Nothobranchius furzeri: one gene and its partners. The protein of the gene in region 2 interacts with the protein of the main gene of each other region in a biochemical or structural test. Links are inferred from orthologs where the notes say so. Each region holds a gene or a part of one and is shown on either strand. Other genes may lie near its edges.

Evidence for each region.
Region 1: of the proteins of tnfaip3 (region 2) and ripk1l, one has a biochemical effect on the other in vitro, tested with the Homo sapiens proteins (2 studies listed by BioGRID). The link is inferred for Nothobranchius furzeri from reciprocal best matches to the Homo sapiens genes TNFAIP3 and RIPK1.
Region 3: of the proteins of tnfaip3 (region 2) and ikbkb, one has a biochemical effect on the other in vitro, tested with the Homo sapiens proteins (2 studies listed by BioGRID and IntAct). The link is inferred for Nothobranchius furzeri from reciprocal best matches to the Homo sapiens genes TNFAIP3 and IKBKB.

The regions. Positions count from the first base shown.
Region 1 is NC_091751.1:51,510,888-51,513,212, forward strand, and holds the end of ripk1l (receptor-interacting serine/threonine-protein kinase 1), read left to right. Parts: intron 1-1,023; coding exon 1,024-1,328; 3' UTR 1,329-1,780; downstream 1,781-2,325. UniProt on the Homo sapiens protein: Serine-threonine kinase which is a key regulator of TNF-mediated apoptosis, necroptosis and inflammatory pathways.
Region 2 is NC_091752.1:25,134,840-25,139,045, forward strand, and holds the start of tnfaip3 (tumor necrosis factor alpha-induced protein 3), read right to left. Parts: upstream 2,874-4,206; 5' UTR 2,796-2,873; intron 270-2,795; exon of another isoform or gene 129-269; intron 1-128. UniProt on the Homo sapiens protein: Ubiquitin-editing enzyme that contains both ubiquitin ligase and deubiquitinase activities.
Region 3 is NC_091757.1:55,651,082-55,654,738, reverse strand, and holds part of ikbkb (inhibitor of nuclear factor kappa-B kinase subunit beta), read left to right. Parts: intron 1-7; coding exon 8-96; intron 97-1,211; coding exon 1,212-1,301; intron 1,302-1,376; coding exon 1,377-1,501; intron 1,502-1,999; coding exon 2,000-2,107; intron 2,108-2,178; coding exon 2,179-2,293; intron 2,294-2,367; coding exon 2,368-2,562; intron 2,563-2,653; coding exon 2,654-2,768; intron 2,769-3,657.

The DNA of each region.
Region 1 (2,325 bases), on a different chromosome or scaffold from region 2:
ATTGGGATTTTTGTTTTTCCAATGACAGATATAAAGACTCCACAATAGATTTTCTGTTCGAGGGGACATCTGTTTACTCTTTAAAAGAGGAATTCTTTCAAATAAAAGTAGCTTCAATAAGAATCACTCATAGCAGCCATCGTGGTAGGTTTGATTTACTTGTAATCCAACAATGTGATTAAGAGAACCAAGTGAAAATTGTAAAACTTAGATGTACTGTTTCATTATCAGAACCATGTTTTCACTATTATTTAACCTTAAGCCTGATTTATACTCCTCTGCCTGCGTCAGTACGGAGATGCCATTATGCGTTGGCGCAAGGGGTGTCCCAACGGGCTCGCAGAGGGTGGCCCTATCCCAGTACTCGCAGGTTCACACTTACACCCTTCAATTGCGATCCCAGCCAGGGGTACGACTGCATAGGCTGTCAGAGTGCGGAAGTAGATTTTGCGCCCTTGATTAGCACTTCACCCAAGTCTGCATACATGTGGACTTGGGTGAAGTGTATTACCCACAACGCATTGCTGCGGAACAACATAGCTCAAGTGCCTTTTCTGAAAATATGTGTTTTCAAATGAAAGTAGTTCATATGAAATTTTATTGCCCTGTGACTGAATGAGTGCTAAGTTATGCAGCAAACGTTTTATCCGTGGACGGAAATGATGAGAAACTTGGGTTTAGAGGTGCCAATTGCATGAAGACGTGGATGAGAAATAGGGACAAATTAGTTCCCGTTAAAAAGTCTCTGAAATACATTAAAACAATATATTGTGGCATGATACCGCCAAAAATTGCTACACTTGCTGTTGTCCTGGCGGGATATTGCTTTGCAACATTCCTCAGGTGACAGAGAAGTCTGATGAGAAAACATATCGATCAATGCATGTACACAACTCCACACGAGCTAACGAGGAGTTTAAATCAGGCTTCAGTTGGGTTTCATATACTTGAGAAAGTTGTAGGCAAGAGGGATCTGGGCTTCAAAACACAGATCCTCTTCAACAAATATCTTATGTTTTTCAGAAAATCACGCTGTAAATGAGGCACACTTGGAACTGGTGAGGGCCAACATTGGGAGCAAATGGAAAATCTGTGCACGACGTCTGGGACTGTCTAATGTAGAAATAGACACCATAGATCATGACTACCACCGTGATGGCCTTGCAGAGTATGTCCACCAGATGCTGGAATCATGGAAAATGAAGACGGGATCTATTGGCTGTACGGTTGGGAAGCTTTGTCGCGCTCTAGACGGGATCATCGAGGTAGATGTCATCTTGAAAATGCTGGAATTGTGCAGTTGCTCTTCTTCCTTTGAAGCTCAGTAATGGGCACATTTTCAGAATTCACTTCAAACATCTGAAGCTCAGTTCAACTGACTTAAAAAAAACTCATGTATTTTTTTTTATTAATCAGATCTAATTTCTTGGGTACTGTCGATAATAAGGGCCTCCCTGTAACAGTAAAAAGTATTGATTTATTTCTTATTGTGATTTTCAACAAGCTGAAACTGCATTTTTATTTGATTTATTGACAGTTTTTCCTACAGCCTACACTGATGAGCGATCAGACACCATCGATTTGTCATGAAATTTCAAATTTTGCACTTATAATAGTCACTGTTAAGGATCATGATATGTTTTAGGTCGAATAATTATTTTCTTACTAAAGTTTTTATATAATCAAGGTGTTTGTCCCTTCAATTTTCTTCCTGAAAAGAGTCATAATGGAAAAGTCGCTCCATGTATTATGAAGGTTAGTTCACAAATATAAACCTACAAGTGGACCCATTAAGATTTCTGCAGAAAAATGGGGCAAAAACATAAAAAATGTATTTTATATCAGGAATTTTAATATATGTGTGAACCCTGTGGAGACAATGCTTTTTGGTCCATCTTGTATTTCAGGCTTGTTGCACATTTTATATATTCATGAATGTTATCTGTAAATTAAATTGTTTATGTACTTTTTTTACCTGCCCAGGTTTAAATGTTCAGTTTAGGACTGTAAAAATTGCATGTTTATTTGATAAGTTGCTGTTACTGTACCATATTAAGCATTTTGAATCACTGTTTTATCCCTAAGTGCTTTAAAGCTGTTTTATGCTATGCTTCTGTCCTCTGAAGCTTTTAAATTCACACTTGGTTTAGGGTACTTGCTCGTATTGTTCTGTAGTATATTTGCTTATGGAATTCCAAGCAAGTTCTCCCTCTATGATTTTACATACCACTGGGATTGTGACATTTACAATAAATTGTTTACATATTTTTAAAGTTGTTTGTGTTTGTTCTTCGTATCCATTTTTGCACAAAGCTTGAGTTTAAT
Region 2 (4,206 bases):
CTCCATGTCCCCAGAAACACGACCACACGTTACTCCAGGCCCAAACATGGTGTATCTACTCAGTCTGACCGCCTTCGGCGGGGAATGTTGTCCACACGGAGACGTAGAAGGCAGGACGGTTGTCTTACCTGTGTAATATGTCGGGAGGTAGTAACAAAGCCTCCCGGATGCTCAGGCTAGTCCTCTCTCAGCCACTTCACTCAGCGCAGCGCTTCTCGGCGCCATTCAACCTCCTCTTTCCTTCTGTATCAGATCTATTCTGGAGCTCTCGCAGCTCGCGAAGCTTTTCGAAACAACAGACACTCACGTCCGCTAACGCTAGTTTTTTTTTTTTTTTTTTTTTGAGAAAAAAAGTCCAAGTCAAGGGGATTTCCACGCAGGGACTTTCCGTTCACCCATTTTCCTCCCTCTCTCAGTCACAACCTGGTGCAGTAGGGGCCCGCGGCCGCTAGGGGGCTCCTCTCTGACTGACTCAGTACTGAAAAGCATATCCCACCTACTGAGCACAAAGGAGCGTCACTCTGTTTCATGAAACAGCCTTAGAAATAAATCATTAACCCTGAAAAAGACTAACCTCAGCGAATAAGTCAGGAATACGAAAGACAAACACGTGAGAAGCAGATTTTTAAAGTGTTTACAACAGACTGTTGTTTGGACTCCTGACATGAATATGGGCTTTCTGCAACACACAAGTCCCAGTATCACTCTTCTCTTTTATTCAGCGTTTTATGCTTATTAAACTCCTGTTTTGTTGTAATTTTGTTCTGAACACAGATGCACAACAGGTGGGTGTCTAGAGGGGGGCCTGGGGGAGGCGAGGGGGGAGAGGCACAGACAGGCCCCCTTGCATAAAAGACTGGCCACCCCAGGTGCCACCCCAGAAACTGAGACAGTAAAACATCTAGTGCATATAATAAATAAAAATCTAAAACATATAAACAATATCAAATCAAAGGTGAGATGGCATGGTGTTTACTGTTTTAGTATGTTTTGCATTAAATTGAGCTTGGTTAATGCTCCAAAGTATTTCAGAAATTCAGATGACGAGACTATTGGGTTCAAACAAAACAACAAACCATTCTGTTTCTTGTTGAGGTACATTTTTTCATTGATGCTATGTTTTAAAGCTCATCTATTTATGTTGTTAGGTGAAAAATATTTAAATAATTACAAATAAACAAAAAGTAAAAATGCACTAAAACGCTAGTCTGGAAATGATATCTCCTACTGTGCAAAGACCTAGTCTGGATGTCCTGCAGACGTGGTCTGGACTAACAGACTTAAGGATCTGCACATCCATGTGACATTTGTTTGCAGGGCTACTTAATCCAAAGTGCGTCCTCCTCTCTTTTCTAAAATAATTCTGACTTTACAATGTCAGGGAAAGTCCCAATGTTATTATAATAAATGTATGCATTCATTAACGGAAAAGTGTCAGATAATTATTGATAAAAGTGCACCATGTTTGTGCTTTGGCTTTATTTTAGTTTATAGTAGCCAATTAGATCATGATCAACGCTTAGTAATTTAGTAAAAAAATATGAAGTTTTGTTTCAAAGTTATGAGCCGTTTACAACTGCCACCCTTATCTAAATATGTGCCACCCCCCAAAATAAATTCTAGACATGCCACTGATGCACAACCCACATGTACTGACAAGACTTGAAAAATAATAAAATTGCAGATGTGGAAAAACATCTCAAACATGAATGTAACTTTTTATGATAAAACTGCATTTATTTATATCTGTTGTGAATTTTATTAAGATAACCCTTTGTGTAAAACATGTAAAAGATGAAAGACTGTGAGCTATTATATAATAATAATAATAATAACAGCAATAATAATCATATATATTCTACCCACACTACACATGTGGGGTTACAAAGAAAGAAATTGTGAATTCAAATGACTTATTTTGGCATTTCAAATCAACTATATCAAACTCAAGCATCATATTTATTTGCAAATACTTGGAGAAATTAGCCGCAGCATCCAGACGGTGTAGAGAGTAAAACAGTTACTAATGCTTATGTTTAATCCCACGCTCTTTTCAGCACCTTTTGGTCATGGTGGTTTACAAACTGTTGCCACAGACTGAAGCAGAGCCCTCCAACGGTCGTAACAGTGGTCTACCAGCCTGACAGCTACTGTGCTTTTGTTGCAGCTATCAGACTTCTGATGGTGATGGGAGGAACAGAAAGATGATTTAACATCTGAATGGCCTGAATAGAGAAATACCACTCACCTCTTTGATTGAGTTCATGACAGAAATTTAGTTTGTGTTGTTTGCGTTTGTTCCTATCGGGATCAAATTTACAGTTTGTTCAAAACATTTAGAGAAAATTACCATTATTTCAGTTTCTTAGGTCATTTTCATTTTTTATTTTTATAACCCCCCCCCCCCCCCCCCCCCAGTTATTTTCAAAAGAAAATTTGACTGAAAGTTTTTTGTGCCTTGTTTTATGGATGTTTTGCTTAATGTTTGTATCCAGCCAATGATATTTGATATTGCTTGTATATTAATTTATTCACCGTCCACTGAATTTGCTTTTTTCAGCAAATATATAGGCCTATCTATGCTATACATACAAATATGGATTTTCTACATGATAATCCTTTAAGCAATATTTGATTTGCATAAACTGTTCTGCATCAAGCCTTAGAATAAAGCTCCACACAGATCAAAACAAGAGAAATAGAAGACACGTATCTCAGCTGAAAATTAAAGTGCTTCAAAATAAAAAATATCATTCACACATTAAATCACACACTCAAAAAATTGGTCAACTCACCAGTAAAGTTGATTTTAGCTTAAATCTTAAAGACACAAGCAAACCGTAAGGTTTTAGCTACCTGCTGTCATCCCATGCTGCCACCCCTCTGCTGACTCACTGCTCCCCTTTCCATTTTCCTTTCTCTTCCCTGTGGAACGCCTCCTAGTTCCCTGTTCGGCTGGCCAAACACCACAGTTCTGTTTCCTCCCTACTCACACAGGGAATAGAAACCTAAGAAACATAATCACCTGACAAATAATTCTGGAATTATTCACTGAATTTGACATTAAAACCCCAACCACTATATTCCAGATTTGATATTTAGCACATTTTCTAATCAATGCCTGGATTGTATTTAGAAATGTTTGTGTTTGTAATGGTAATAATGTACAAAACTTTCACACATGTTTAGAGGGTTTGTCACTTGGTCACGTTTGACTGAGTCAGGCTTGAATGATGAATGCAAGCTGGTTATGGGAGCTATTAAATAAAAGCAGCACAGTCACAAGCAGATTATGGAAACTCCCCAGAAAAGACAAATGACCCACTGGTGTGCTCAAGCCAGTAACTGGTTGGTCACAAAAAAGTTTTAAAAAATAAATCACATTTTTCTGTGGTGGAAAAAGGAAATGCTTGGAATTGAATCAAGTCATGGGTGAAGTTTCATTTAATATTGTTTAAAACAAGAGCACAAACAGGCTGAAAACATCAAAATCCTGTTTAAAGGGATACTTTTTTATATTTTCACATCATTTTTTGAGCCAGTATGTGCTCAAATGACCCTTAAAGGCTACCCAGCCTCTATCGCCCCCTGTGGTCAGAATGTTCCACTTGCAAATTTAGACTGGTGGCCGTTTTGTTGGGACTTAGAAAAAATCGAGCTGACATACCTGGTGCTGCAGTCTGGTTCCAGCATTTCAGCTGTTAGATTAAGGCGTTCAAAAGACAAACGCACAGCGAGGAGATACGTTTGCTTTCTGTTCTACAAGCAAACACTAGGGGGTACTAAAAGCAAACCAAAACAGCCTAGTTCCCCTTTAAATGTTAAAAAAGCTTTAATAGTTTTAAAACAATACGAAGTAAAACTCTACATTCTCTTTATTTAAGATATTTTACCAACACAGCTACAATTTTCATAAAAACAGTCATATAATAATGTTCTGAAATGTATTATCAGACCAATTTATTTTGAAATTTATTCAGAAATTAGAATAAGCATTTTTCTTTTTTCCTCCATTCGCTTTTATTTTGCAGGTACGATACAACGTTTTTATTTTTGCAACATTTTGAACACATGAGAAGATTCGTGCTGAAGCCAACAATCTGAATATTTCCATCCTGACAGCAAAGTAAGTGCCAGTGACACGTTTCACAACTTTAACTTCCTTCCTGAATTACAACACTTTTATAAGTTACACGCATGCATTCT
Region 3 (3,657 bases), on a different chromosome or scaffold from region 2:
TTCCCAGCTTCAGCTCTAATGTACCTCCATAGCAACAGGATCATCCATAGAGACCTGAAACCAGAAAACATTGTGCTGCAGCAGGGAGAGAAGAGGGTGAGTTACAGATCCACTGAAGACAAAGTGCACCAAAACCACAACTACAAGGCTCTTGGAACTTCTATTGTGCAAGAAATGATTGCATGTTGTACCCCAGCTTTAAAAAGAAAACAGGAAAATCTTGTATAACTGAGGCCAGACATTAAAGAGGTTATATTCATGTTTATGCAAAATCTTCTGAGTTTATAGAAACTGAGCCTGACCAGCTTAATCAGTTTAAGTTTATAGGTTTGCATTAAAATTTGTTTCTTCTTTTGCTTACAAAATACCTTAGTTTATGAGGTAAAATTAAATGTTTTAAGAAAAACTGATGAGGATCGACACCTCCAAATCTGAGACCATGGTTCTCGGCCGGAAAAGGGTGGCTTGCCAACTCCGGGTCGGGGGAGAGGTCCTACCTCAAGTGGAGGAGTTTAAGTATCTCGGGGTCTTGTTCACGAGTGAGGGTAGGAGGGATCGGGAGATCGACAGGCGGATTGGTTCGGCGTCTGCAGTGATGCGGATGCTGAGCCGATCTGTCGTGGTGAAGAGGGAGCTGAGCCAGAAAGCCAGGCTCTCGATTTACCGGTCGATCTACGTCCCAATCCTCACCTATGGTCATGAGCTTTGGGTAATGACCGAAAGAACGAGATCGCGGATACAAGCGGCCGAAATGAGTTTCCTCCGTAGGGTGGCCGGGCTCAGCCTTAGAGATAGGGTGAGGAGCTCGGACATTCGGGAGGGACTCGGAGTAGAACCGCTGCTCCTCCGGATCGAAAGGAGTCAGCTGAGGTGGTTTGGGCATCTGGTCAGGATGCCTCCTGGTCGCCTCCCCGGGGAGGTGCTTCGGGCATGTCCTGCCGGCAGGAGGCCCCCGGGTCGACCCAGGACACGTTGGAGAGGTTACATCTCCAATCTGGTCCGGGAACGCCTTGGGGTCCTGCCGGAGGAGCTGGTGGAGGTGGCCGGGGGGAGGACGGTCTGGAGCTCCCCAGTTGGGATGCTGCCCCCGCGACCCGGATAAGCGGAGGAAGACGACGACGAGGAAAAACTGATATTTTATGTATTTCATGGCGCATTCAGTTCAGCAGTTACCAACGTGTCAAGCGTTTTTGGGCTTTTTTCTTTTTTAGCTCATCCATAAGATCATAGACCTTGGCTATGCTAAAGAGTTGGACCAGAGCAGCCTTTGCACATCCTTTGTGGGAACTCTGCAATACTTAGTAAGTAGTACAAAGTAAAGGCTTGCACACCTGATTTCCTCCCCACTTTTCTAACGTCTAATATCTTTATTTCAGGCACCAGAGCTCATAGAAAGGCAGAAGTACGACGTCACCGTGGATTACTGGAGCTTTGGCACTTTAGTGTTTGAGTGTATTACGGGATTTCGTCCTTTCTTACCGACCTGGCAGCCTGTTCCCTGGTAAATTCTGTTCAAATGTAAATTCTGTTCAAGTTTTACACTTTAAAAAGTCACATGTACCCGTTCAGATGAGCTTTTTCCTCATGGATCCAGCAGCTTTTCATTCTATTACGTGAACATTAAGAGTACTTCCAAAAGTAATGAGAACGTTTACCTTTCCACTACCTTCTAACCTGTTACAGTCATAGTTTAGGAATCTGTACAATGATGTTTTCTTGTGTTCAGAATGGATGAACTTAAATAAAAGTAAATGTTTTTGTGTGATTGTTGGACTTGAGCTCGAGTTGGTTTAAAAAGCACAGGAGCAGCTAATGAATTGCAGGATATGTGAGGTGTGCCAACATCAGCGTTCTTTTCTTGTTCTTCGTAAAACGTGATGAATGATGTGAAGCGCTGGGGGCATTGAGTTATTTAGAGGAAAACTACTCCTTAGCCCTAGCAGGGACAAGTGAAAACATGAGAATGTGCTTGTCTCGTGGTCCATCTGTATCCTTCTAGGCACAACAAAGTCAGGCTGAAGCAGGACGATGATATTGTGGTTTACGAGTCTCTCGCTGGAGAAGTCTGCTTCTCCAAACATCTGCCTCAGCCCAACAATCTCAACAGGTGATTGTATACCCCGACAGCTGTCAAAAGGTTTATTCTCTAATGCAGATGTGGTTACTGTTGTCTGCCAGTCTGCTGCTAGAAAAGATGGAGAGTTGGTTGCAGCTGATGCTGAAGTGGTCTCCTAGGAAGAGAGGCAAGGAAGGCAACTCCTTCTCCCAGCTGGAGCTCATACTGCAGCTCAAGGTTAGCAAAGAACATGAGAGTTGTATGGTTGTTTATTTTATTTTATGTTTTCTGACTTGTCTCTTTCCTTTCAGCTGGTTCATGTCCTGAACATGATGTCGGCTAAAATCCTGACGTACAAGGTCGCAGAGGATGAAACTGTGGCCAGCCTGCAGCTGAGGATAGAAAAGGACACGAACATCCCTGCAGCCAATCAGGAGCTGCTGCTGGAGGCGGGGCTGGCGCTGGAGCCTCAGGCTCTGGCCACGCAGTGCGCCATCGATTACACAGTAAGGATATCGGACGTGCAAAGCATGTTTGTCATGATCACACGTTCCACTTCCGAATGAGAGCTGTAGCGTTTGTATCATCGGTCTGCAGGAGATAGATGGACGTCGTACAGATTTACCTCTGGTCTTCCTGTTCGACTGCTCCTCCTGCTCATACGAACCCCAGTTTGCTCCCCGGACTCTTCCTGAAAATATCCGCTTTGTCCGTAAGTACGAAGCCTGTGATGTCAGGAAAAGCCGTGCTCAGTAAATTTTATTTCATTTATTTTCGTGTCAGCTAGCATAAATGAAAAAAATGAGTGTAGAGGCTGAGAACTCCAAACTGACAGGTGTCATAATTAAATATAACAAATGAACTGACAGCTAGGAGACTTATTTTAACACTGTTAAAAGGCGTTCGTGCTAGATCTTTCTCTGAAAGAGTAGCAATGACCATCCTTTCTTTAAAGACGCTTCCGCAGCAGCTTTTCTCGGTTTTATTAACAAACATGGACAGTTTAGGCTGCCACCCCCGCGACCCGACCCCAGGTAAGCGGCTGAAAATGGATGAAGATTCAGACAAAAAGGCTTCATGTTGAGGTGAAGCGTGTCAACGTGAGACACACCCAGAGCACTTGATTAGTTATTGTGACCCATGTTGGCATTATCCAACAACCAATGGGTCAGCTCCTCCGGGTAAATCTTGAGGTGTTCCCTGGCCAGCCGAGAGACATGGTCCTTCCAGTGTGTCCTGGGTCTTCCTTTAGGTCTCCTTCCGGTTGGACGAGCCCGAAAAACCTCCCCAAGGAGGCGTCCAGGAGGCATCCTAACTAGATGCCTGAGCCACCTCAACTGGCTCCTCTCGGAGTGAAGGAGCAGTGGATTTACTCCGATCGCCTCCTGAATGACCGAGCTTCCCACCCTATCTCTAAGAGCCCAGCCACCCTGCAGAGAAAACTCGTTTTGGCTGCTTGCATCTGCGATCTCGTTCTGTCAGAACCCAAAGCTAGTGACCGTAGGTGTGGGTAGGAACAGAGATTGACCACTACTACTCCCGCATCACTGCACCAATCCGCTTACTGATCTTGCGCTCCATTTTTCCCTCACTCGTTAACA